Linked DNA regions of Ovis aries. The protein of the gene in region 1 purifies or fractionates together with the protein of each later gene. This does not show direct contact. Links are inferred from orthologs where the notes say so. Each region holds a gene or a part of one and is shown in the gene's direction. Other genes may lie near its edges.

Region 1 (3,500 bases):
TGGTGAGGCAGAGGTTGGGACTTAGATTTGCTTTCCTGCCCTCCCTCTCCTTTCCTAGCCGTCTACTTTGCGTCCCCGCACTACCGCCGTCTTCCCAAGTTGGGGAACCTCCCGCTGGGGTGGAGAGTGGAGTTAACTGGCTGCGAGGTCCCAGGGCTGGTGTCCCCCCACCACCCCACCCCCAGCTGGCGGAGACCGAGGCCATTTCCCTGATCCTCAGCCAGTTGGCCTGCCCTTGCTACTGCCCCGGCAGCCTCCGTTTCCATGTTCGTATTAGCGGAGTCCCTGGGGTGAGAGAGCGCTGGCTGCGGGGCACGGCGTCTTACTGACTTCCTATTACGGTACCCACTCTGTTTTCACACCCCGGGCTGCCTGCAGGCACTTCCCCCCCCCCCCCCCCCCCGCGCCACAGCCCCCCAATTTTAGAGTGCCGTCCCGCGCGAGAGGGCACAGGATGCCGGAGCTGTGAGAAGTAGCACTGAAGGAAGGAGGCGCCGCGATTCTGAGGCGCTGGAAACCCGAGGCCTCCGGTGTAAATTGTGGCTAATTTTCCCTTGGCTGTTGTGGGGAGAAGGATTGTGTGTCCTAGAGCAAGGGGCTGGGCCGGCCCAGGCTTTTCCCTCCAGCGCTGCTGCCTCTACCTGAGCAGGACAGGTCTGGCTGGTTAGTCTAGTGCTTGCTGGGGGAGGGAGGCCTCACACCGGGGCCTCACTTCTGTGTGGCATCGGCTGTGTCTTCCTCCTGAAGTAGTTATTCTCTGAACCCTAAGCCTCCACAGTGTGGCAGGGGTCATGGAGAATGGGGAGAGGGGGACATCTGGGAAGAACCAGCCCCAGATTGTCTGACAGGGACATCTGGAGAGAAAGCCAGGGACCTAGCCCTGCTAAAAGCATGTACAAATTGTCCTCTGGGTTTGTGCTCATGAGTATGTGATGCTTGTGCATTTGAGAATGCATTTGAGGGGTGTGTCTATGCCTGTCCAGTGTCTTTGTGTGGGTCTCCCATACTGCTTAGATATGAATGGGTTAGAATGCTTGAGACTACATTTGGAGGCAAGGGGTGAGACCAGGGACAACGGGTAGGGCGCCTGAGTTCTCAAAGGGAACAGGGATGTGGATGTAGATTTGAAGGCACAATTGAGGCTGCTTGGGAGGAGGAGGAAGAATGTATAGGTAATTGTGGAGACCTTCTCCTGTGGGGCTAGGGAGTGACAAAGGAGCCAGACACCAAGATCCTGTGGGCCAGAAGTGAACATGGCTGACTGAGGGTTTCTTTTCCTCCAGGGCTATGCTGGGGTGACAGGAGTCTGGGTGATTATCTGAGGAAGTGTAAATAGAGGCCTCACTCCTCACAGAAAGGATGTCAGGGCCCCAGGGTGTTAGTGTGAGAGCCCAGGTGTCCACCTTTGGCTCTGCCTTCTCAGCATCTGGCTTAGGGAGCTGCCAGCTTGTGTCTCCCCACTCCAAGTGCTGGGGTCAGGCCAGGCCAGCAGCTGGGCATGGCTTCCCCAGTTCCTGGGCAGGATGCCAGCTGGCTAAGTGAGGGGGAAGGCAGGAGGAGCCCTGGCGGCGACTAAAAGGACCTGCCACAGTCAGAGCCCATGGCCTAGAGCCTGGTCCCTTGTTAGTAGGAGGGGAGAGACAGGAGTGGTTTGGCTGCTCTCCTCTTCTGACCCCTGACCTCCCATTCACAACCCAGGCATCCCAGAGTACTCGAAACACTCTCTGTTTGCGTCCAGCAAAGGGAGGCAAGGTTTGGAAGAGTTAATGCTGGATTTCCTAGAGAGCAGGAACCAAGGAGGTGAGGGAGGAAAAGGGCTGCAGAGGCTGGGAGCCTAGAGGCTTAGGTTTTCCGGTGCTGTCTGCTCCAAAGATAAGGATGACATTCGACTGCTGCCTTCAACATTGGGCGTGAAGAAGAGGAAGCGAGGACCTAAGAAACAGAAGGAGAACAAGCCAGGAAAGCCCCGGAAACGCAAGAAGCTTGTAAGTGTTACGCATGCCTGTCTCTACAGTGAGGCTTGGAGACCCATCCCAGAGACCTATGATTTCTCTGGGCCTGATTGCCATGGGGACCCTGAAGTCAGGGAGACCTGACTCCCTCTGCCTGCCCCTAGCCCCACTCCTGCTAGCCTGTATCTCCCAGGTCTGGGACCCTAACCTTACTCACTACATCCTAGTGAAGAGCCCTTTTGTCGACTTTACTTGCCCTGCAACACAGAGAAGCTGTTGGAAGCACTGCAGGTAGACTGCATGAATTCACAGCCCAGCAGTCCTCTATCTTCTTGGGCAGCTTACTTAGCTCTCCGTGCCTCAGTTTCCTCTACAAAAAAAAAAAAATGGATAAAAATAGATTAGTTGCTGTCTCATAGGATTGTTGTGAAGTTTAAAAGAGACGATGATATTTTGTGCTAAGAGGAGTTCCTGGCACACGCTAGGGCTCAAAAAATAGTGTTTTTATTTCTCTTCCTTAGGACAGCGAGGAGGAATTTGGCTCTGAGCGAGATGAGTACCGGGAGAAGTCAGAGAGTGGAGGCAGTGAATATGGAACCGGACCAGGTCGGAAACGGAGACGGAAGCACCGAGAAAAAAAGGAGAAGAAGACAAAGCGGCGGAAAAAAGGGGAGGGAGAGGGGGGGCAAAAGGTGAGTAGATTTGGGGAGTGAGGGAAGAAATCTGTATCAATGACAAGCCTGAAGAGTAGGGGAGGGAGAGCCCTGGGCAAGCAGGGTGACAAATGGAGAGGCTGTGGTTTATGAGGAGTGGGATTGGGCTGGGAATGGAACAGAAAACTGGAAGCCCAGAGAAGCTGGTGAGTGGGCAGGGAGGCATGTCAGGGGGTGGGGGGAGCCCAGGACTGGAGTTAGGAGAGCACCTGGCTAACAGAAGCCTGGTATCCTAGCAAGTGGAACAGAAGTCATCAGCAACCCTACTTCTGACCTGGGGCCTGGAGGACGTGGAACATGTGTTCTCCGAGGAAGATTACCACACACTCACCAACTACAAAGCCTTCAGCCAATTCATGAGGTACGGTAGGGCTGGGGAACCCTCACTAGCCGATGCTTTTAATTTGAGGGAGGCCCTGGACCTCTCTGGAATCTGATGAAAGCTAAAAAATGGCTGTCCAGAGAAATTCACAGCACAGACACACCTAACTCCCATGTAATATCAGAGAATTCCTGGATTCCAGGATCCAAGCACTCTAGTCAGGAACTTTTCACTGGGGATCAGAGTTCCACGGCTAGGTTAGAAAACTCTGGTGACCGATGGCCCTCTCTGCTCTTAACAGTTCCAGTTTACCCTGCCTGACTTTTCATCAGACTGGAGTGGAGAGGTGGCATCAGTGTTTCCCAGTTTCCTTTGCTCGGTTATCGAGTCTTCTGCCCTTCCCTTAGACAGCAGTAGTAGTGCAGGCTGAGAGTGGCACCTGCAAGTCAATAGCTTCTAAAGTAGAGGAGAGAACAATAGAGATGCCTTTGGGGGAAGCAGGCACTTTAGCAG
Region 2 (4,171 bases), on another chromosome or scaffold:
CAGCCCCGAGCCAGGCCCGGACCCGCCCTGGCCGCCTCCTGCCCCAGACCCGAGAAACCCTGGGAAGGGCGAGGGGGCCGGCCGCGTGGCGCGTCCAGCCCGGAGGTCAAGTCGCGAAACGGATGAAGTTGGCCGCGGCTGGAGGAGGGACTGGGAGGTTGGAGGGGGGGTTGTAGATGTCCACGCGGCCCGCGTCCTGGCCTTGTCCCCGGGCCACGGACAGGCCCCCACACCTCCTCTCAGCCTCGCCGGCTGGAGATCAAACGGCTGACAAGGCAGCTGTGTCCTTCCTTTCCAGACTGACGGGCAATTTCAAGTCCTGCCCTGGGCGGAGGAGCCCTGGGGGTGGGGGGCGTTACTTCCAGGCTGCAATAATTGTCAAGGGGTGGGAAGGGACTGGGGGACCCGAGGGGGGTCACCCACGCGAGTGTGTCCAAAGATCCGGCCACACCTACTTCTGGGTCGGCAACTATGAGACACTCTCCCACGTGAAGCACCCGTGCCCCTCACCCCCATGCTTCCGAAAAACCTTGGCGTTAGGGGTGGGCTCCGTGTTTGACCCCAAGACTGAATGGGATGAGGTGCAGGGAGCGCAAAGATTTCGGGTGGACATGCCTTCCGGAATGGGACTCAGACAAGGTCTCACGTTTCCCTGCCCCTCAATGTGCCCCGAATTCTTTCCTCTTAGTATCTTTTATCTTCTCCCCTTGGCTCTCCCAGTTTGAAATATTAGGATTGATATGGAGACACTTTTTGGAAGTTTAACCCCGACCCCTCAATAAAAGTGAAAACAACCAAACTACTTTCCTAGGGAGACGGAGTAATTGACCATGTGGTCCTAGTCCTCGTGTCGACCCCAACACTCTTTCATAGCCATCCCCCACCCCCCAAGAGCTTTCCAGTGAGTGGGTGGGGACTTGCGTTGCTTCAACTTACTTCCACGCACACCGCACTCCGCCCCCCTTCTCTGGGGGTCCAGCTCCCTAGAGGGGAGGAGGGATGGAGAGGATTTTCTTTTATTTAAAAATATCTTGCCCACGGCCCTCCCTCTCTCCCCCCATTTTGCGCTGCCAGTGCACCGGGAGGAGACGAGCGCACACAAAAAAAACGCCGCACGTGTGGCCGGCCTGAACTGCGGGTGTGCGCACGGGCGAGTGTGTGTGTGTGTGTGTGTGTGTGCGCGCGCGCGCGCGAGTGTGTCTCTGTGTGTGTGTGCTTTCTTGTTCTCTTACAGGGTACAATGTTAAAAAGCCACCGCTAGTCGCCCCCAGTGCTCCGACTCTCTGGGTCTTTTTGTCTCTAGTGCAGATTAAACGTCACGTCCGCACTTGAACTTGAATTTTATCCCATTGTACAGAGGCAGCCCCAGCCATAGAGAGACCGAGAGCTCCCAGAGAACCCGGACTCCGCCATCTTCACGTTGCAATCTATAGCTCCCAGTCCGCGCCCGCACCGACCCAGGCGCACTGGGTGAGCCGCCCCGCAGCCCAGCTCCCCCCGGGCCAGCGGCTCCAGGGGAGCGCTGGGGAGCGCTCGCGGGGACCCGGCAGCCTCTCCGGCCGGCGCCAGCCTGCCAGGTGAACTGGGAAGGAGCCGCTCCTGGAGTCCCCCCAGAGCCTCGGAAGGGTCAGTCTCCGAGAAAAAAACAGGCAGCCCGCAGAAAACCCAGAAACCACCGAACCGGGGCAGTTTTACATTGCTTTGGGTTTTTTGAGGGGGCGGGGTGAGGGGGTACGAGACAAGTCCTCAAGTTTTCTTGGCTTTTTTTCTTTTCTTTTTCTTCTTTTATTTTTTATTTGTTTGCATTTTCCCCCCTCCCCCCCCCCCTTCCTGGTAGAAGTGCGCTTTACACCTACCAGACCCTCAAAGTGTCAGGAGCCGGTGCAAAATCCGGTTTAAGTTCGAGACATTTGGAAGTCCAGGAGGCCAAGCAGTTTGAAGAAGTGTATGCAATTTTTTTTTTTCCTTGAAAAGAATATATTTTTGAAGAAGCAAGCCAGTCCGCGGCAAGCAGCAGCAGATTTTTTTTCCTTTCTCCTATTTTAGATCGAGAGGTTTTGCTTTTTCTTTTTCCTTCTTTTTCTTTTTGCAAATAAAAGAAAAAACAGCATAGAAGAAAGCGCAAAATAAAGAAGAAGAAGAGGAGGAAGAGAGGGCAAGAGAGGAAGGAAAAAAAAAAAAAACCAAAACACCAACCCGGGCAGAGGAGGAGGTGCGGCGGCGGCAGCGGCGCGGCGGCAGCGGCGGCGGCTCGGACCCCCTCCCCCGGCTCCCCCCATCGGTCCAGCTCTCCGGGCGATGTCAGAATAGATGCCGGGGCAATGTCCCGCCGCAAACAGGGCAACCCGCAGCACTTGTCCCAGAGGGAGATCATCACCCGTAAGTGTCTGCGGCGTGCGCGCGAGGGGCCGGAGCGTGGGGCTCCGGGCGCCCAGGGCTGGGGACACCGAGCCGGGCGCAGCCGGGCCGGGTGCCCGGGCGGCCCGCGGGCTCGCACAGGGGCAGCGGCGTCGGCCCAGAGCCTGGTTGGGGGGCGGGAGGGCCTTAGGAAAGTTTCTTTGCAGCCCGGGGAATCCGGGCGCTGCGCAGTCCGATGCGCCCGGGGCTTGGGGGCCTGCGGAGCGGGCTCCGGGGCCGGGGAGGGGGCGCGCAGGCTGGAGGAGGTGTGTGTGTGTGCGCGCGGAGCCCGGCTGGACGCTCGCCCCTCCGAGCGGCGTGTGTGGCGGCGGCGGCGCTGGTGGCGGGGTTTGGAGAGGAGGGGGGAGGGGGTTGGGGGAGCGGAGGGGGAGGGGGGAGCCGGGAAGTGGGGAAAAGTTGGCGAGCGCGTGGGTCCGCGCTGACGGCGCCGGCGGAGGGGAGCGGGGTGCGCTCGGGCCTGGGGGAGACGCAGGGCGAAGGGTGGCCGCTGGCTCCGAGTTCCCCCAGTCGCGGCACCCGGCCGGGCAGGGCGCCGGCCACGCCGGTCCTCGGATTCCGCTGCCGCCTTTCTCTCCCCTCCTCGTGCTATTTGCAAAAGAATCCAGCTGCGCGGCTGTTTGCTGGGCTCCTGCACCCCCACCCCCATTTCCCCACCTCCGTCTGTCTCCTGGGATGTTCTTGTCTTCTTTCCCCCCCACTCCAAAAAAAAGGTGGGGGACATCGGGGGCTGGTGAAAAATCCCCTCCACGAGGGGGCTGGGGGGAAAGGGTTGTCAGCTCGGAGTGGGAAGAGAGGGACGTGCTTGTAAAATAGTGGAAAAAAAAAAATAAAAGAAAGAAAAGAGGAAAAAAAGGGAAAGAGACCTATCCATCTCTTACCCATCTGCCTATCTCAGATCTTTCATCTTCCCCTGTCTAAATAAACAAGGCAGGTCGCAGTGGAAATCCACCGGCTGAAATCATGTGGGTTTCAAGCAAGTGGCGGGGAAGGCAAAGTCAGTCAAGGGGGCAGAGACGCAGCCGCTTCCAGCGTCCCGGTCGGGTTTATTTAGCGAAGGGAAGAAGCGTGCGGGAGCGGGCCAGGTACGGGGTTGGCAGGGGAGCTCGCCCGGGTGCCTGCACACTTGCACCGGGAAGGTCTGCTCGCCGCGCTCCCTGCCCGCCGCAGCCCGCGGGGCCGCTGCTCCGCCGCGCGCAAACCTTTCCCCGCGGTCCTTTCTCTCGCGGTGCCAGAGTCGCCGTTGCTTTTTTTTTTTTTTTTTTAAATTTTTCTTTTAAATTGCAATAGAAATAAAACATCCTCTGGGTGCCATCGAAACCGCGGGCAGGTTGTGTTCCTTGCCATCCTCGGATCACCTTGTCAGGCTGGGGCCCGGCTGCCGGCGCGGAGCTGGAGAGGGCTGTGCGCCCATCCGTCGCCGAGGACTGGCTGCGGGGCGGCCAAGAGCCGAATATTTATGTTATATTTTAAAAAATTTAAATAAATAAATAAATATATAAAGGGGTTCTCCCCTCCCCGGAAAACCCAGCATAGGAGCCATCTGCTCGGAGCCTCCGCTGCTGCCATCTCTCCTTTGTTACAGCACATACATTAGTAAGAATTTGTGGATTTATGATTATTTTTTGGGGAGGGGAATAGATATGAAAGTGGGCTTGCCTTGGGAGAGGGACGCCTTTCTAGAGGGAGGGAAGAGGGCTTCTCTTATATTTTTCACCATTGTAACATCAAAGAAGACTTGCTGGTTGCATTTAAA
Region 3 (3,952 bases), on another chromosome or scaffold:
AGTGCTTTGTTATCCTAGCAGACAATACAGTTGTACATCATTAAACGCTTCTTGTCACCCTCAGCCCCCTTCTTCCCCCAGATCCAGGGGTGAGACCTTTTGGCTTCTGTTTCCGATACAGAAAGGGAAAGGCACGAAACACACGTGGAAGTCAAGAAGTTTCCTTCACACACACCCTGAAAAAAAGCGGCCGTCACGAACAGGATTCGAACCTGTGCGGGGAAACCCCATTGGATTTCGAGTCCAACGCCTTAACCACTCGGCCACCGTGACTTCCAAGACCGCCTGTCACCGAGCACTTACAGAAAGGGTCTGTACAACGACCCGGAGCGAGTGGTGGCAACGGGAAGCTGGGCCAAGCCCAAACACACAGCCTGTGACCTCCTCACATTCCGCTCCTTACCTCTGCCTTCACGCCGCTCAAAGGAAGAGAGTCGGGTGGATCGGGTGACCCAAAGAGGAAGGGTCTCCCGCCCTACGAAGATGAGGGTCTCAAGGAGCGCAAAGCTGTTTAGGAGGCATTGGCGAGGCCTGCAGAGGAAAGCAGTTGGAGAGGAGGGGCTGGGTCCCCGGGGTGGCGGCTAGGGGACTCCTCGGGTTGCGGAGTGAGACCTGGGACAAGGCGTTAGGGGCGAGGGAGGCTCAGGAGTTTAAACGGGGCACTCCTGGGGATGGATGACAGGAAGAAACTTCTTGCGGAAACGGGTCCAGGGCTCCTCGGGATTAGGGGCTTTGTGGGGTTAAGAAATGTGCAAGGTGAGGACCACTGAGGTCTGGGCTGGGGGCTCCTCAGGCGACCGGCATCCCCCTGGGGTAGGATAGAGAGGTACCCCACTCCACCGGCTGAGAGGCAAGAAAAGACTTCAGGTCAGCAAATGGCGATCTCTGGGGAGTGTGCGCCCCCTCCAGGAAGCAGCTTCCTCCCCAGAGCTCCGGCCGCGGCCGCCGCCGCCGCCAGGGAGGCCGCCAGGGTCCGCCCCGCGCCAGGCGCTCCGCCGCCACCGCGTCCGGCCGACCGGCAGGGGGCGCTGCGCGGGCCGGGGCCGGCCTAGGCGGCGGGAGGCGGCGGCCGCGGCGGCGGGAGGCGGCGGGAGGCGGGCGGAGGAGGAGGCGGAGGAGGCGGGAGCTGAGCTGAGCGGGGCGGGCGGCGGCGGGGCCCGAGCCCGAGCCCGAGAAGATGGCGGTGCGGAAGAAGGACGGCGGCCCCAACGTGAAGTACTACGAGGCCGCGGACACCGTGACCCAGTTCGACAACGTGCGGCTGTGGCTCGGCAAGAACTACAAGAAGGTACGCGGGCAGGGCCGCGCGGGGGCCGGGGGCGGGACAAAGGGACCGAGGCCCCGCGGCTCCCCCCACCCCCAGCTCCTGCCCACCCTCCCGCGGCCCGCGGCCCCTCCCCCGCGGCGCCCGGAGCGGCCCCAGCGCGCCCTCCGCCGCCCCGCGCCCCTCCCCCAGCCTCTTTTAACAACCCCCCCCACCCCCGCCTCTGGTTCCAGCCCCCGCCCCCACTGCTGCGCCCTCTGCCCCTTGTTTTTCTCCACTCGTCCGGCGGGTCCCGGTGCCAGCTGCCCACCCTCCGTAAGCCATCGCCTTCCGGGCTTTTCCGGGAGGGACGGTCGGGGGTGGATGGGTGCCGAATGCCCACCCCCCCCGACCCGAGCGTGCCCGCCACGGTGCCCGCCAGAGCTCCCCACGGAGCCAGGTACCAGCAGGGCTGAGGCCTCGCCGGTGCTTTGTGTATGTTCAGAGAAAGATGATGAAAGCCAGAGGATAAACAGCCCCAGAGCAGGCCCTCGACTGCTCACCAGCCTGAAAAAGGCCCCCACCCCGGGATCACCTGTCTACCGCCCGCCCCCATCTCCGTACAAGGGGTAACAGAACCTCTTTGGGAGTCAGGGTATAGGAGTTCCTGGGCAGCTACCCCTTTTAAAACCATTGCTCAACTTCACAATGAAATCACCCCACCACCTGGCCTTGCATTGCCTTGGGTTTGGGGTTCAGAGACTAGGATGCAGTTTGTGTCTGGAGTCCCCCATCCCGTAACAGGAGATAATAAGGTAATGAACAAAGGGTTCAAGCCTTACCTGTCGTTTATACCAGACCTCTTCCTGGTGATGTCTTTGTCTTTAGGCCTGGTTGAAAGGAACATCTCTGCATAGGGCTTTTCTCTGGAGAGGGTCTGGGTCTCTTCCTTCTCACTGCCCCCAATAAGAGGTTCTCAGACTTTCCTTCAGCTCCCCAGTTCTTCCTGCTCAGCTCTGCAACCTGTCAGAAGTGTGATGGGCTGGTGGAGAACGCCCCTCTGATCCTGGTTATGAGTCTGGCTCTGTTCTCAGAGGTCTGTCTGGGTGTCAGAGCTTGACCAACAGCTGCTGGGTCTGTGGCTCCTCTCTACACCAGCCTGAGGCTCTGGCTCCCAGGCTTCTACCTTTGACCTTTTGGACAGGAGATCAGTCTAGGGGCTTAGTGTCTGGCCCTGGGGGAATTGACAGCCTGTGACCTAGTTCAGCTGTCAAGCTCTTAGCTCTGTCATTTACCTTTTCTTTCAAGGATCTCTTTACACCTCCCACCAAAAGGTGCGCTTTTTTCTATGGTCGGGGTTGAGGAAAAGGGGATCAAAAGATAAAGTTAGCTTCTTTGCACAGTTTTACACGAGAACTGAAGGCTAGGGTGCTAGGTCGCATAATATGGAAATATTTAAGAAGCCCCAGGCTTGCCTGTGTCCAGTACAGTCTCCTCAAGAAGGGTAGATACTGGCTTGCTATTTCCACCTGGCTGGGCAGTAGCTGTCTTTTTTCCCTTCTAGGAGGGCATGTGAAGACATGTGCCCTATATTGCTTCTTTGCACCTTTCTTATCAGGCTATATTATAGGGGGAATCTTGACCTTCCACACCATTACTCAAAGAAGTAGACTGCTGTCTCCCTTAGAGCATTCCAGATGTTGCTTCTGTGGCCTGATCCCTATGAATCTTCATAATTTTACAACTCTAGGTGCCATTGGCTAAAGATCTGGATCCTGCAGCTCCATTTTTAGGGTGTAGTTGAGGGAGAGTAGGAAGCTGCCTATATTGCCAGCACCCAAGACTGGCAGTAGGAAGCTGAATGTCATCTTCTTGGTGAGGGGCACCTCAGGCCTTCCTTCTGCCGTTTTCTTTCTAAGAGATTAGGCATGTGGGGGAAGAAGACACTATTTGTATTCCAGATGCTTCCAGAGCTTCTGGGAAAGAAAGAAGGGAGATGGTGGAAAATTGATTTGGGGTCTGTTTTTCTCTCCTTTTCCCTATTTCCCCAGTATATACAAGCCGAACCACCCACCAACAAGTCCCTGTCTAGCCTGGTTGTACAGTTGCTACAATTTCAGGAAGAAGTTTTTGGCAAACATGTCAGCAATGCACCGCTCACTAAACTGCCGGTAAGTGCAAAAAGCAAGGGGGCAAATCCAAGAAGGAGTTGTCTCTTGTGTTTTTGTAAATCTTCTAGTTTTTGAGGTTTGGGTGACTTCCTACCATCCCTTTCCCTGGTTGGGGTGTTACTGGCTTGGCAGAGCCCCCAGTTTACCATCCCCTTTGTCCTAGTAATAGTTCATGCAACAGGTTATCTCGAGTATTGAAACTCAGTCATGAAACTCATGGCATGGTGAGAACGTGAGATTTGGATTTGCACACTCTTGTGTTCAAATCCTTGCTCTACCACTTGGTGTCTCTGTCATCTTGGACAAGTCATTTATGCCTTTTGAGTCTTGGTTCCTTTATCTCTCGATGGGATTAATATACCTATGTTGTAGGTATTACCTGTAATGATTAACGAGGAAACCCAGTAAAGGGAATCCAGCAAGGGACATGGTGGGGCTTTGTAGATATTGGTTTCTTTCTCTCCCCTCTTCTAGGCTACAAGATAGAATGGCACAGGGGTTAAAGAATTCCAGCTTTGAGAGGGAGATCAGTTCAGCA
Region 4 (3,500 bases), on another chromosome or scaffold:
TATTTGGAATTTCTCCACACGTCTCCCTCAGCCAGTATACCAGGATGCTGTAAGAAAGCACCAAAGACTGCGTGACTTAACAACAAAAACTTACTATCTTGACACTTGTAGAGGCTGGAAGTCCCAAGTCGAAGTGTTGGCAGGGTTGCTTTGAAACTTCTGAGGACTGTGAGGGGAAATCTGTTTCTTGCCTTTCCTAGCCTCTGGTGGGTTTCCAGCAATCACCAGCATTGCAGGGCTTGCATATTTCTGCCTTCGTTTTTGCATGGTATTCTCCCTAAGTGTGAGTCTGTCCAAATTTCCCCCTTTTTAAAGAACGCCAGCCATACTGGATTATGGGTCCACCCTCCGACAGTATGAGCTCATCTTAACTAATTGTATCTGCAACAACCTTATTTCCAAATAAGGTCACATTCTGAGGGGTGGAAGTTAGGATTTCTGCTTGTGAATTTGTAGGGGGACAGCTTAGTAATAGCTGGTGGCACCTTCTAGTGAAGCTACTCCCAGCATTCACATCTCCGGTAGTGTTGCTTGTGTGAATCCTGTCTGTGTTCACATGTGAAAGTCCTAGTGCTGTTACGTACCAGGTATTGTGCCAGGCCCTAAGACTACAGCCCTGAGATAGAGCATGTAAGGCAGTGTGATGATGTGCATTTCCAAGGAAAGAAACGAGGTGATCGAGGGTGACTGGCACACACAGCCCTGCTTTTGTTGGGAAGACCTAAGGAGGTGACCCCTGAGGCCTGTACAATGGTGAGGATCCAGCCTGGTGCAGAGTTGGGTTGGTACTTTTTAGGCAAAGGAAACAAGCAGGTGCAAGGCTGGGAGGGAGGAAAGGACTTCACGTGTTCAAAAACCTAACATCAGTTGCGGGGGACTTGCTTGGGACCTAGTAATTGAGGCTCCACTCTTCCAGTGCAGGGGGTGCAAGTTCAGTCTCTGGTCAGGGAACTGGAGTCCCAAATGCCACATGGCAGGGCCTTTAAACAATAAGTAAAACATCATTGTGTTTTGAGCCATAGGGGAAGTGGGATGCATGAAGTTGGAAAGGTGGGCAGAGGCCACATTATTTATTTTTACAGGTTATGGTTTGGGTTTTGAGATACATTGAGACTTTGTTGATAAAGATATAGATTGATGGGAGTGAGCGAACGCACCAAGTTGGATGGGCAGAGACCACTCAAAAGACTGCTCTCATCCGTATGAGAGATGACTGCCCAGACTACCAGGATTATAGAGGAATTTTAATTAGATTGGAGGGACTTCCCTGATGGTCCAGTGGTTAAGACGCTGGAGCTTCCAATGCAAGAGGCATGGGTTTGATCCCTGGTCAGGGATCCAATATGCCATGCTGTATGCCAAAAAAGGATTGGAGATACAATCGTCAGGATGTGCTAATGATTGGATGTGGAGAGGTTTAAGAGAATGGAGAGCGTTAAGGATGCTACCTGGTGGTTTTTGTTTTTTGATTTTATTTCTTTGCTTATTTTGCTTGAGTAACTGGGAAGCTTAGGGGTATGTCTGTTAACAGGAAAGGGTTATTACCAGGTTTGGGAGGCAGATCAAAGGACTACAGAACATTCAAGTGGGAAGCACAGATTGGGCAATTTAATGTACTTCTCTCTCGGTGCTGTGTGTTATATGTCTGCATGTCTGATTCAAATGATGTAGGGAGCTGGGAAACACCTCATTCATCTTTGTATCACCTTCCCTTCTTGCTTATGGGCACCAACAAGTATGTTGGAGGTAGGAACAAAAACCTCCACTGAAGATCTGCTGTGCCCAACAATCTGATGGACAGAATGGGATAATAGCAGGAAGGGATGGTGGGTTTTAAACCCTTTGCCTTGCGCTGTGACAGAAGTGACCAACAGCCTCATTGTCTCCCTCAGGGTACATTAGAATCGTCTGGGTTGCTGGTTTAAAAATACAGATTGATGGAAACAAGGAACTCTGTACACATTTTTCCCAAGACCTCCTCCTTCCCCAACATGCCACCACGTGGTGATGCTGCAGACCAAAATCGAAAAGCACTGAGCTAGTTCTGACCAGACCTTGGGTTGGCATTTCTCTGGGGGCTTTATGATCTGCAGCTTGAGCCCACATCTTTCCTCAGCTACTTTAGAACAAAATTGGATTTTGTATTCGAAGGGTTTTTCAGTCCTAGTTCATGGATGGTTTCTTCTTTGTTCTGTTTTGCAGTCCCATGAGCGTGTAAGCAAGCGGCTACATCAGAGGTTCCAGGCCTGGGTAGATAAATGGACCAAGGAGCATGTGCCCCGTGAAATGGCAGCGGAGACCAGCAAGTGGCTTATGGGTGAGGGGCTGGAGGGCCTGGTGCCCTGCACCACCACCTGCGACACAGAGACCCTGCACTTTGTGAGCATTAACAAGTACCGTGTCAAATACGGCACAGTGTTCAAAACCCCGTAACTGCAAAGCCAGAGCAGATAACTGGAGGGGGGGTGGTGTGTGTGGGGGGCGCGTGTACTCGCACACACTGAAGAAACAAGGAAGATGCCTTTCAAGCCTCACTGGGCCTCTCTGGGACATGGCCACCTGATCTGTGCGTGGCTGGTGCAACCTGGCACCAAGTGGGCTACGTATAAGGAACGTGTGACCCCTTACAAAGCCGGAGTTGGAACTTTTCCCAGGGGTTTTGGGTATTAGCCTGCCCTGGAGGGGAGGAAACCCACGCAAGCACAGGGACACGCAGCTTGCACACACCAGCAGAGTGGAGACTGGAGCCTCCTGGGGCGACTTTCAGTGAGGGAACCGGATGCTGTTCACACCTGGACGAGCTGGGCGAGCATCGACGACAGACTTGAGGAGGAGCCAGCGCTTAGATGGATTGTAGCTCTGATGGTCACTGCTCCTTTCCTCTTCCCCTCAAAAAGGAAAAAAAAAACTGGATTGGATTTTTCTTCCTGGTCACTTGAGCACATCTAGATCACCCATTAGGTTTTCTCTGGGACCTGCAGTTTGGCTTTGGGATTGATCATCTTGTGGATTTGATTCCTGATGAATACCTTGCTGCCCACCCTTTTTTCTCTCCTCTGGTTCTCAGCCTCAACAAGTTCAAATCAGTCGTCCTTTTTAGCTCCCGTGGAACTGTTTTGTACCTGCTTCTTTACTAGTCTACCCTAGTGCCATCCACCAGCTTTACTCACACACACACACACAAACACAATTTTAACTTGGTTTTTCTTTTTTTTTTTGTAAATAATGTACATACTGTCAATTTTTTATTAAAAGAAATATGCTTTGATGTGCTAGCATAACTGCTCTAGCTTCTTGTGTACCATAGTTCTATGTGGCTTCAGATTTAGTACCTATGAACAGATGTACAAGACATTTATTACACTTTTTACCAAAGGGAGTTACCGTTGTAGTACTTTTGTGTAAAACTTGTCTTCCTTCTTGCCCCAACTTTTTTTTTTTTTTTTTTTTTTTGTAAATAAATAAAGCTTGGTTCTTACTTAAGGAATGAACTCTCAACA
Region 5 (3,500 bases), on another chromosome or scaffold:
GGTGCTAAATACAGCAGGGGAAGTATAGGACAGGGAAGGCAGAGTGGAACTCTATTCCAGAAGTAAAGAGTCACAAATCCACTCATTTTCTGTTAGCATATTGTTTTTTTGCTTGAGCTTGTCTATAAGTAAAGTAAATGTATGCGTGTAAACCAGCCTTGCAGATAACCTTGCCACGTTACCAGCCTGCCAATCATACTAGCAATTTCCTTTTGCTGTTCACACATCTCTTATTATAAGACAATAGTCAGACTAACGAACCAAAGAACACTCCCCCTCCTACCTCATACCTAAAACATCAACTCCCTTCTCTTTTGTCAAAAATAAACCAAAATTAAAAACAGAACTATGGGAAAGAAGTCACCACTGTTCATTTGATACAGGCCTTGGGCCTGTTCACTATCTGCAAGGCTGTTGTAATGATGTTAATCTATTTTAATGGAACTGAAATGTGATATCCTGTGGTCTACAATGCACATTGTTTATAGCTTTCATGCTTGATTTTGGGTTTCTTTCACAGATAAACTTCTGCACTGGAGGGGCCTCTCCTCCCCTCGTTCTGCACACGGAGCTCTAATCCCCACGCCTGGGATGAGTGCAGAATATGCCCCGCAGGGTATTTGTAAGTTGAGCATTATTTTCTTCTACAAATGTCCATGTGTGTAGAGATGAGAGTTGTTGGAAATTACCCTTATGTTTTAAGTACTGAAAGGAGTTACTTCCAAAATACCTTGGCATCTGCATATGTGTATCCCATTACTCACTGGGCACCTGGCTCCCCCAGGTCATTCAGCCCCAGGGACTTTTTTCCTTACCCCCTTTCTTTTTCTCCTTACTGAGGGCATGAGGCTGACAGCAGCTCCTCCCTGTTGGTCTCCTCCCCAGGGTCTTGTGTGGCTCCATGACTGGTGACTGCATAGGTCTGTTCAGGGCCCATTTTATCGCTGGGCATTCACCCTCATGGTCTCATTTAGAGGACTTTGAATTTACTCCATGACATGTGTCTTTAGCAGAGACCAGAACCAGAAAGGACTCAGTTCAGTGTTACTGTAGAGGTATCCTCATGCATATTATATATGCATGTGTTTTAAACATGGTATATTTTTATATATGCATGGTACACTACATATATAATTTCTACTTGTTTTTCTCCTAGATTCAGAGAAAAATGCACAGCATTGTTGCTAAAATTCAAAGATACCACTCCCCACCCCCACCATCACTATCACTGTCCAGTTATTGGTTCAAGCCAACTTTTATGGTGGGGACCTTCTTATGAAATTTAGATTTGTATGTTTATAAAAATGTTTCTGAAAGATGTTGTTTTAAAAGGTAATACAGTTTGATTCTGTCTGTTGGAATACATAGTATGAGTCACGCATGGCTAAAAAGTCTGATGGGGAGGGGGTGAGGGCCTGGTGCTTGATTCGATCCCAAACACAAAAAAGTAGGCTCAAGAAGAAAAGAAATGTGACGTCTAATTTTTATTTAAGGAAACCATTTTTATTTTGAAAGTAAATGAAAAAAATCAAGAGCCAGGAGTTGGGCCTTCAAGGTGGCTGGTTTTCAGATGGGCGGTCAACTAGACCCAGTCTTCTTATGAATGGTGTCTGCAGGGCAGGGCCTACAGCCCGAGATCAAGCTGGAAGCTGGTTGTTTATTTTTATTAACTCCTAGGTAATTCTAGCTAACAAAGAGTTATTGTATGAAATTTCACAAGCCCTGAGGTCCTGAGGGCTGGGTGGTGCAGGGGTTAAAAGCACCTCTTCCCCGCCGCCCCCGCCCCCTCCACCTGCCCCAACCTAGCTGGGCTGAAGCCTGGGTTAGGTCACTGATTGCAGAGAGCTCAGGGGGTTGGACTCGAGGCATCAAGTGCCTACGTGCTGACTGGGTGGGGAGAGCTCTCCTCGTTTTGCTGGGGGTGCCTCCCTGGGGCCTGTCCTTGGCTGTGGGAACAGAGCCTTTGGAGGGAAGGGAGGAGAAGAGAGTGGGGCATAGAGGGGAGGGTGGAGTGGGGGCCCAAAGGCTGCTGCCTGGGAAACAGGCACCTTCTCTCCGGGTTCATCCTCCTGAGGGCAGGGAGTTTGATCTGAGGGGATGGGAAACTAGGAATCTTCTAGTTTGATGGGGCCCATACTGGCAGGGCCAGTTTAGGAGTGACCAGAATGAGGTATGTGGGAGTGGGTCGTAGGGATCTACAAAGTCCTTGGGCAGAACTGATCCGCACCCCACTGGCTTCCTTAACCTTCTGCCCTAGGCTCTCAGAGCATTTAGCACTTAGGCTGTGGCCTCCTGGCTGTGTGGACCATGGTCCAGGGCCTTAAAATCACCCACTCTTGCTTTCCTCTAACCAGGGTCTCCCCTTGGCCTGAGAAGGCCCAGATCCTGGATTCCAGTCTTTTCTTCAAAAGCCCTTGTGGATGTGTAATGTGCGGTTAGTCATCATGTTAGGTAACTAGTCAAGCCTAGGAATAAAGAAGACTCACATTCATGTTGGACATGATAGTTTACAGAGAGCTTTTATATACATTTGTCATTCGAGCCTCACAATTCTTTAAGGTACTGTTTTTACACTCATTTTACAGATAGGGGCTTCCCTGGTGATCAGAGGGTAAAGGAATCTGCCTGTAATGCAGGAGACCCAGGTTCCATCCCTGGGTTGGGAAGATCCCCTGGAGAAGGGAATGCCAACCCACTCCAGTATTCTTGCCTGGGAAATCCCATTGACAGAGGAGCCTGGCGGGCTACAGTCCTTAGTCATAGAGTCAGACACGACTGAGCGACTAACACTACAGATAGGAAACCTAAGACCTGAAGAAATTAAATGATTGTCCTAGAGCCACCAGCCAGTAAGTAGTAGAGCCAGAGTCCCTCATCAGAATTTGCTCTTCTAAATTATAACTCCTGAGCATTGGTGACAAACTGGAAATGGGGTCATTCCTTCCTATACAATAAAATGAAATAAAGTAAAAGCTGTAGGTGAGCTAATAGCTGATTTTAACCGTTTTGATGCCTCAGAGTTCTCTGCTCGAGGCCAGATCTCCGTTTATTGCTCTAATCAAAACAATCCCCCTGAATGCCCAATGAGGCTCTCAAATTGAGAAGTTGATTTTCATCAGAGTAAATGAAGAATATTATTATATTTTACACATCAATAAATCAATGTAGCCCTAATTTTGCCACGCAGGAAATCAATTCTGGTCTTTCTAAACCATCAAAGATGTTATGAACAAAGTAATTTCACAAATTATGGCAAGTAACACATTTATTGATGACTGCAGTTTAGGAATTTAGAGTCTGTGAGCACTGTAATATAATATGGTGCACTGGCATGAGCCGAGTGAAATACAGATTATATGGTGAGACTGTGATGCATCATTCGCTATTAGTGGACTGGTAATAATTACTAGTTTCAAAGCAGCTCTTTCCATGTAATCTTTAGTCTCAATCGTAACAGCCCTTCTCATTGACATTACGATTACACTAGCTGCCCTCATGAT
Region 6 (4,133 bases), on another chromosome or scaffold:
ATAGTATCAGAAAAAGAATGTAAAGTATCTTAATAATTGCTTTATATTTATTATATATTGACTTAATACGTTATATATTTAAATCATGTTAAATAAAAAAGATTAATTTCATCAGTTTTTACTTTTTGAAATGTGATTATTTAAATTGTTAAAATATATATGTGGCTTGCAATACTTTTCTATTGGACAGTGCTACTCTAGAGTATTGGTCCCCTGAGAGCAGGGTAGGAAAAGGATGATATTAATTTACCCCCGAACTAACACTTCGCTGAACATCCTTGACGGAACCAGCCTAAAGCTGATCACAAGCGATCCTGGGAAGAGGGGTGTCGCTTGTACCTTCACTTCTAAAGGAAGGAGGGAGGGAATGGGTGTATCCTTTACCTCTGGGGCAATAAGAATTCTCACTAGATCCAGATGTATCTGAAAGTCTGTAGCTAATAAAAGATATTTGCAAAGCAGGGCGATTAAAAATGGCAGAAAAGGGCGGGCATCTTGTGTCTTTTGAGAAGATTTACTATTTAAGGAGAACTCCAAGAAATAATACCTTCAAAAGCTTCATCATCTGATGTAAAATAAATTTCATGATTGCAATTCAGTCAGATTTGAGAAGTGGGCTGTGGTGGGGTAGGAAGAGGGTCAAAAATTGCAATGTAATCTCCAGGAGAGAAGAAACTTGGTCAAGTTTATTCTTGTCTTAGCGCCTAGAACAGTGCTCGCCACACAGCAGGCGCTTTTTAAATATTTGAACGAGTTAAGATGCAAAATTAGGTGGATGAGACGGTGTGTTTTTCGCGGGAGGAGGCCTTTGGCTTTTGTCCAGTGTCAAAGGAGTCTAGGCCGCCAAGGGGTTAACAACCACTTAATACCGACAGGGACGTGAAATTTATTTGAAATCAATGTCAAGAATTGGTTGATCTTATTCTGGGGAGAAGGCAGACCTCGGCGTCTGGAATGATCTACGTGCTTAAAAATACCACTCGCCACCATTTTCTCCAGGTAATTTTCCATCCCTGCCCCCACAGTCAAGGAGGGGGGGGGGCGAAAAAGTAATTCCGCAATCCTACCTAGCTTTAGAGAAAAAAAAAAAAAAAGAAAAAATGAATCGGTACAGCAACAAATCTCCAGGCATCGCCAGCGCAGCAGAAGAAGGGGACCCAGGTGGGCCTCGGGCACTGCCGGGACCCCAGCCCCCCAAACTTTGCCAAGTTGCGGGCGCCGAGTGCGCCCGGAGGCGCGGGGCGCGGCCGCGGGCGGCACCGCCCCCTGACGCCCGGCCGCGGCGCGCCGGGCCGCCCCCTCCCGGCCCCGGCCGGCCCCGCTGGCTCCGCTCAAAGTTTGCGGCCGCCCCTGCGCCCGCGCGCCCGCCCGATGTATGGGTGATATACTGCAGCGGGTGTCAGGGTGAGGGACGGCCATATTTGCCGGTGCGGCCCGAGCCGTCAACAACAAAAAGTGCGCGGGAGCTCGGCGGGCGCACGGACGGGCGCACGGACGCCAGGACCGCCTCGCCGCCGCCGGGTCTCGCCGCCGCCGCCGCCCTCGCGGGCCGGGCCCCGCTGCGCCCCGGCGCGCCCCGCCGCTCGGGGGGATGTCTTACAAACCGAACTTGACCGCGCACATGCCTGCCGCCTCCCTCAACGCCGGTGAGTGAGTGCGCCTCGCGGGCTGCGCGCGCCGCGCCCCAAGTGCAGCCAAGTTGGGGGCTCGCGCGCCCGGCCCCGGCCCCGGCTCCCGGGAGCCCGCGGCGGCCGGGGTCGGCGGGCACCGGGTCCCGGCCCGGGGCAGCGCGGCCGCCGCCGCCATGATTCCGGCGCGCGCGCTGCCAAAGTTCGCGGGTGCGACCCGCGCCGCGCCGGGCCTCGGGTCGGGCCGGGGCTGGGGCCCGGGTCGCGGGCGGCCGCCGCGGTCCCCCCCACGCCGGCGGCCCCGGCTTGTGGGGAGCGCGGCGAGCGAGGGCGGGGGAGGCTTTCTCGGCTCCTTTTTCCTCCGGCTTTTGGGCGGCTCGGCGAGGGCCCCTGCCGGCGGGAATCGGGAGCGGCCCGGTCGCGCCGGGAGCGGGGCGCCGGGAGCGGGGCGCCGGGAGCGGGGCGCGGGTCCGCCCTTGGGGACCTGAGGGGCAGGCCCGGGCGGGGGGTCCGGGAGGCAGGGGTGCACGTGAGCAAGGCCGGGCCACGCGCAGGCGGCGCTGCGGGGCGGCGAGAGCGCCAGGTTGCAGCCGCTCCCGAGGGCGCGGGGCCGCTGGGGTCACCGGCGGTGCAGGGGAGGTGGTCTGTGGACGCCCGCCCGGCCTGGCGTGGGGGAGCAGGTGCCCAAAACGGGGCGCACGGGAGGTCCCCTCAGGCGTGCGCGAAGTGAGAGAAGTTGAAGAAGACCGGGGGCTTCGGAGTTGCCTGCAGGCGGAGGGCGGGGGAGGCATTGAGCCGGGGTCCCGGCTTGGAGCCCCCAAGTCTAGGTTTAGAGGGGCCTCCTCCAGGAGCAGTGCTCTCCGTGTGCTGGGGCTGAAGCTGGGCGGTCCCAGAAAACTCCTGCATAAGTTGTCCGGAAGCTTTAGGCTGAGTCTGGGGGTCTTGCCTCAGAGACCGGGGCGGGGGCGGGGTGTGTGTGTGGCAAGGGGGCACGCGGGATGTGTGTGGCTGGTGGTAAAATTTTGTGGGGTTCGTAGGTGACTGACTGCCCCCTCTCACCGAGGTTCTCCTTTAGACTCTTGGTGGGAAACTTCCAAAAAAGCGAGGTGCATGGGGGTAGGGGTGGAGGCAGGGGCTTGGCAGGAAGGAAATGGGCCTCCCTGGTCAGAAGTGCCACGCTGGCAGTTGGCCGAAAGTTTTGGGCCTTGTCTTCTAATGTTAACTCGATAACTCCAAAATCTGAAGGGCGCCCCAGAAAAGCACTAAGTGTATGTCCATGTACGTATATACCTATACGTAGGTGTATATATGTGTGTGTGTGTTTAACTTCTTGGACAGAGATTTGGGGATTGGAAAGGGTTAAGATTCAGGGTGTGGATGGCTGTGGGGGTAGATAGTTTAGTTGGTCAAGTGTGGGCTCTGTCTGAGCCCCAAGAGCAAACGGCCCCTATTTTCAGCTGAAATGTTCTCATCTCTCGGGTCTGCACACCTTAAGAGGCAGGCTTTGTGGCCAATGTTTCTCACTGCCTCCCTCATCTGACTCTGGGGTGGGATGGGTGGAGGGTCTTGCCGCCGGCCCAGGTGGGCAGGAAGTCTCAGGTTCCCCTGGTGCAGTTGAGGCAGGGACCCTGAACCTGGCCCTTTGGGGACTGGGGTCCCAGAGGGAGCAAGCCACCCGCTTAGGCACCCTGAAGCCCTGCTCTGGGCTGGCTAGCACCTGTGCCCAGATTGTCTTCCTTCTCCTGTGGTGAACTCCAGGAGGAGCGCTGAGGTCTCCAGATCTCTGGTGTTCGGGTGAGGGGCCACCTGCCCCCTGCCCTGAGCGTGGACCCCTTTAGAAAGCCCGCATCTCCCTGAGCCATTTGCATCCAAGATGGACTCTCCACTGCCGCTCCTCCGGCTTCCTTGTCATCATCCCTCACGCCCTCCAGCCCTGCCTCCTGCTCGCGAGTTGCCAAGCCGCGGCCTGGCCGGCGGTGGCAGTGGCGGAGTTAGACAAAGCCCCCGCCTCCCCGCCAGAGAGCCCCCCCAGGCGCCCCAAGTGGCGGGAAGGCCGCCAGCTCCCCAGGCCCGGGCCGCTCTTTGTCTGGCGTGGGGGCGGGGAGCCGCGCCTGGCCCCAGGAGCTGCTGGCCTTTGCCAATCCCTCCCTCGGCTCAGGGCCCTCCCTGGTCCCCGCACACTGCGCGCATTGTCTGCGATGCTCTGAGACGACCGTGCTCACGCCCTGTCTGGTTTTCTCCTTGGCCTTGGGCAGCTGGACCGCCGGCCCTCCCTGTGTCTGCAGGAAGCTGTGGGCATGAGTGGAACTTGGGGTCCCTGCGCCAACTCTTCCCAGGGCCACAGGCACCCCCCTCTGAACACTGAGCAAAGGACTGGCTCAGAGTCGGGTCGACTACCACATCACCCAGGTGACAGGCAAATCAAGCTCTGGGCTCTTGCCTGACTTCTCCACACTGCTTCCACGCCTGCAACCCATTCCTTCTCCCTCTCTCAGGAACTAACCC
Region 7 (3,500 bases), on another chromosome or scaffold:
GGCACAGATAAGAAGTATAAATAATAGCCCTGTTTATAGAATAGGGCTTTCAGTGCACACACAGGTTAGCTGGTTTCACTTAAGAGTTACAGTATCACTGGCAGAAAGAAATCTTAATTTGTCATCAGGTAAAGTTTACATATTAGGCTTTCACTGGTAAATGTAAGTGTGGGAATGAGAAAGAGCAAAAAGGAAACTCCTGAGTCTACTCTCTGCTGAAACTTCAAATGCCTTTCTTAATAGCTGTGAGCTCTCTTTACTTCACTGGCCATAGGAATATATGTAGTCCGCATGTAGTCATTCAGCATTCATTGCTAACAAATAAGTTGCTAACTTATTTTATTTTCTGCCCAGCATATAGACATGAAGACTCCTCTAGAATGAAAGTTGCTTGATGTCAGCACTTCTCTTTACTGGACCCTGAATAAATATATGTTAGGGGAATTGAGAGTGTACTTGAGGACACACTGTGTACACCTAGGTGGACAGTGTTCTTGGGCGTGACTGATCAGCAGGGCAGTTAGGCTGCCCCAGATGGGAAAAAGTAAACCATGTTGGCACAGTAAATACCAAAACAGTCCAGGCTACATGATTCTGAGGAATTATGACTTCTGGAAATCTGATAGATATTACCTTTTTCCTCTTAAAAAGAAATGCCTCGGATGCATTTAGTGGTTTTTCTAATTTCAAGTGCTCTGTAATCATCTTCATAAACATTCAAGCATAATAGAAATGATGAGCGGCCACAGTCTCTTGACGTGCTTTTACCTCTCACAGTAAGCCCAGCTGATGTCCGCAGTGTCACTGCTGACATGCAGCTTTTGTGCAGTTCCCTGAGAGCCAGTGTGGGGTCAGCAGCTGTCACTCCAGCAGCAGGAAGGGCAGTGGTTTTCCCTAAACACTGCACACTGCTTAATTTATTTAATCCAGAAATTATTTTGTCATGATAAGTAGTAAAATTTAATAACTTGCATCTTCCAAAATTTCAGACAGTATCCTAAGGAAATTGTGTCTGGGTGAGGAAGAGATATGACTCTACTTATTTTGTGAGTGTCATGCTTATGAGATTGGTTTTTACATAGCCTCGGTTTGTAAAGATAAATGGTTTGGGTTCATTTAAACACCTTAGTTTTATTTCTTCTTCATCAAACATTCAAATGTTTATGTGTGGTTAAGATAAAATCAGTAGTGAAATGCAGAGCCTTTTACCTTGTTACACAAGTCATTTTTATCACTTCACTTTATATTTCATTGAAAGCAGCAAACCAAATCCCAACCAAATATCCACCAGCAATGGCAAACCTGGTGCTGTGAATGGAGCTGTGGGAACCACGTTCCAGCCACAAAACCCTCTCCTCGGGCGAGCCTGTGAGAGCTGCTACGGTGAGTTTTCTCCAGCAGGGCTTATTCCCCACTCCAGCCCCTACTCCCCCAGGGACCATGCTGGCGGCATCCGTGGGAGGTGTGGGAGTCAGCCCTGCATGGAGAGCAGGATAAGGTAGCCTCAGAGTGAATAGATGCCCATCCTTCCGCTTGGACGCTCAATTTAGGTGTTAGCTTCCTTTGATTTGCTTCTGTGGTGTCCTGGGTTTGTTGAGTATTCCACAGCAGTGCGTGCTAAGCTACATTCAGAGCTGTTACTAGCTTTGTGTAAACCATGGTCTCACGAAATATACCAGTATACTTTTGGTGTTTCTCAGTATATTTTGACAAATTAAAGGCTCCACATAACTTTGTAGGAAGGACTTACTGCTAGAAACTGGTATTTATAGCCCTCAGACCAGTTCCCTTAGAGCACTGGCTTGGGAGATTCTGTTTATGATACTCTTGTGTTTATCAGTATTTATCCTTGTTAAAAGAACTACCTGATGCCGGTGCATTATATTTGCCTTGAATGTTAAATTGAGGTGGTGAGACGAACTGTTAAGTAGTCGATACTTTTTCTACTTTTTTTCTTTTTCTTTTGGCTGCACCTCTCTGCATGTGGAATCTTAGTTCCTTGACCAGGGGTTGAAGCCACGTCCTCTGCAGTGGTGATGCTGAGTCTTAACCACTGGACTGCCATGGAAGTCCCAGATACATTTTTTATATTTCTTTAAAACCTCAAACAGCAATATAGTCTCTTAAACGGGGCTATGGTGACACAATCATCCATATGGCCTTCCAGTCAGAGCAGCTTGGTGTGGAAGAAGGAAGGACACAATATTGACTAAAAATCATCCATATGTCCTTCCAGTCAGAGCAGCCTGGTGTGGAAGAGGGAAGGACACCAATGTTGACTAAAAACATCTACTTGGTGCCCAGTTTTTGACTTTCCTCCATGCCCCGTACCAGGCTCCAGCATTAGGAAAGGCTTTTAAAGCCAAATCATGTAATTATCTTTCCTACAACCAAGGAAGGTGTGAGCCAGACGGATTGCTGTCTTCATAGAAATAGCACATGCCTAACCATTTTCTGTACCACGAGAGCGCAAAGGGAAACACTTTGTGGAAAGTTAGATTCTTTTGGTCACAATTTTACATGGATTGCATAGCTGCTTTTGCATTGGGGGAAATCTTAGATTTTGAACTTCATTTATATTTAAATGAAAGTAGAAAGACTCCTAAAGAAATGCTAGTGGCTTAATGTGTCTTATACACCCCCTTTCATCTTATATGTAGTCTCACATATCCCTTTAAATAATTATTCCACCATTTTTATATGTGCATGACAAAAAAGCAGTTTTAATTTTATAATCTTTGAGGTCCATGTATTAAATTACTTATTATAATTATATTTCAATATAATATACACATCAAATTTATCTTTACAGAAAGAATTTGATGTTTTCTGTTTGTCAGTCTTTAATTGAATTTGAGTTAATTGTATAAAGAGAAAGACATTTGTTGACATATTAAAATGACATATCGTGAAAAAAATAAAAAAAAATAAAATGACATATCATGATTAATTTGGATAAAAATACTTTTTTAAATACAAGTGAAAATTTATATTCAGAATCCAAAATAAGTCCATGCCTAATATTTAGGATTCTTAAAATTTGTGTTTAAAACAACTCAGCTTGGCTTATTTGACTATTTGGTTTTAAATTACAAGAGGGAACATTTTTAAGTTACTATTTGCCAGGAGTCCCCCCAGAATAACACATGATGGGGTTCATAAGAAGTAGTATGGCTATAGTGATCACTATATCTTCCCTTTTGACAGTGTCTTGTGAAGTGTTAGTTGATAACCCTGATGTGCTGTTCGAACATGTTAACCTGAAGAGGGCAACGTTCCAGGTCAAGGGCAGAAGATTCAGTGTTTTCTGTCTTAAACTTCAGATCCATTGTGGGAATACTTAAATTGTTATATGGCAGTAATTTAAATTTCAGAGCAAAATAACACAGGTCTGTAGTGTTCAGCTCAGGAATAAATCAGCTGAGCTCTCAGGGGTTAAGCATGCCCCGTCTCTGCTGCACGTGCTCACTTGATAGGGACTTACAGTCTTGAAACGGATT

The links.
Region 2: the proteins of CHD3 (region 1) and BCL11B purify together in Homo sapiens (affinity purification with mass spectrometry; 3 studies listed by BioGRID and IntAct, with this or other methods). This does not show direct contact. The link is inferred for Ovis aries from reciprocal best matches to the Homo sapiens genes CHD3 and BCL11B.
Region 3: the proteins of CHD3 (region 1) and SMARCC2 fractionate together in Homo sapiens (co-fractionation; 3 studies listed by BioGRID, with this or other methods). This does not show direct contact. The link is inferred for Ovis aries from reciprocal best matches to the Homo sapiens genes CHD3 and SMARCC2.
Region 4: the proteins of CHD3 (region 1) and SIN3A purify together in Homo sapiens (affinity purification with western blotting; 3 studies listed by BioGRID, with this or other methods). This does not show direct contact. The link is inferred for Ovis aries from reciprocal best matches to the Homo sapiens genes CHD3 and SIN3A.
Region 5: the proteins of CHD3 (region 1) and BCL11A purify together in Homo sapiens (affinity purification with mass spectrometry; 3 studies listed by BioGRID). This does not show direct contact. The link is inferred for Ovis aries from reciprocal best matches to the Homo sapiens genes CHD3 and BCL11A.
Region 6: the proteins of CHD3 (region 1) and CDK2AP1 purify together in Homo sapiens (affinity purification with mass spectrometry; 6 studies listed by BioGRID and IntAct, with this or other methods). This does not show direct contact. The link is inferred for Ovis aries from reciprocal best matches to the Homo sapiens genes CHD3 and CDK2AP1.
Region 7: the proteins of CHD3 (region 1) and MTA3 purify together in Homo sapiens (affinity purification with mass spectrometry; 4 studies listed by BioGRID and IntAct, with this or other methods). This does not show direct contact. The link is inferred for Ovis aries from reciprocal best matches to the Homo sapiens genes CHD3 and MTA3.

What each region holds. Positions count from the first base shown.
Region 1 is NC_056064.1:27,388,702-27,392,201, forward strand, and holds part of CHD3 (chromodomain-helicase-DNA-binding protein 3), read left to right. Parts: intron 1-1,872; coding exon 1,873-1,985; intron 1,986-2,473; coding exon 2,474-2,644; intron 2,645-2,901; coding exon 2,902-3,026; intron 3,027-3,500.
Region 2 is NC_056071.1:61,946,267-61,950,437, reverse strand, and holds the start of BCL11B (B-cell lymphoma/leukemia 11B), read left to right. Parts: upstream 1-1,371; 5' UTR 1,372-2,321; coding exon 2,322-2,379; intron 2,380-3,935; exon of another isoform or gene 3,936-4,171. UniProt on the Homo sapiens protein: Key regulator of both differentiation and survival of T-lymphocytes during thymocyte development in mammals.
Region 3 is NC_056056.1:163,357,354-163,361,305, forward strand, and holds the start of SMARCC2 (SWI/SNF complex subunit SMARCC2), read left to right. Parts: upstream 1-1,152; 5' UTR 1,153-1,177; coding exon 1,178-1,288; intron 1,289-2,085; exon of another isoform or gene 2,086-2,383; intron 2,384-3,294; coding exon 3,295-3,414; intron 3,415-3,952. UniProt on the Homo sapiens protein: Involved in transcriptional activation and repression of select genes by chromatin remodeling (alteration of DNA-nucleosome topology).
Region 4 is NC_056071.1:31,101,754-31,105,253, forward strand, and holds the end of SIN3A (paired amphipathic helix protein Sin3a), read left to right. Parts: intron 1-2,202; coding exon 2,203-2,433; 3' UTR 2,434-3,487; downstream 3,488-3,500. UniProt on the Homo sapiens protein: Acts as a transcriptional repressor. Corepressor for REST. Interacts with MXI1 to repress MYC responsive genes and antagonize MYC oncogenic activities. Also interacts with MXD1-MAX heterodimers to repress transcription by tethering SIN3A to DNA.
Region 5 is NC_056056.1:63,535,423-63,538,922, forward strand, and holds part of BCL11A (B-cell lymphoma/leukemia 11A), read left to right. Parts: intron 1-520; coding exon 521-622; intron 623-3,500. UniProt on the Homo sapiens protein: Transcription factor. Associated with the BAF SWI/SNF chromatin remodeling complex. Binds to the 5'-TGACCA-3' sequence motif in regulatory regions of target genes, including a distal promoter of the HBG1 hemoglobin subunit gamma-1 gene.
Region 6 is NC_056070.1:52,346,653-52,350,785, forward strand, and holds the start of CDK2AP1 (cyclin-dependent kinase 2-associated protein 1), read left to right. Parts: upstream 1-1,333; 5' UTR 1,334-1,591; coding exon 1,592-1,646; intron 1,647-4,133. UniProt on the Homo sapiens protein: Inhibitor of cyclin-dependent kinase CDK2. Also acts as a component of the histone deacetylase NuRD complex which participates in the remodeling of chromatin.
Region 7 is NC_056056.1:81,421,682-81,425,181, reverse strand, and holds part of MTA3 (metastasis-associated protein MTA3), read left to right. Parts: intron 1-1,258; coding exon 1,259-1,383; intron 1,384-3,500. UniProt on the Homo sapiens protein: Acts as a component of the histone deacetylase NuRD complex which participates in the remodeling of chromatin.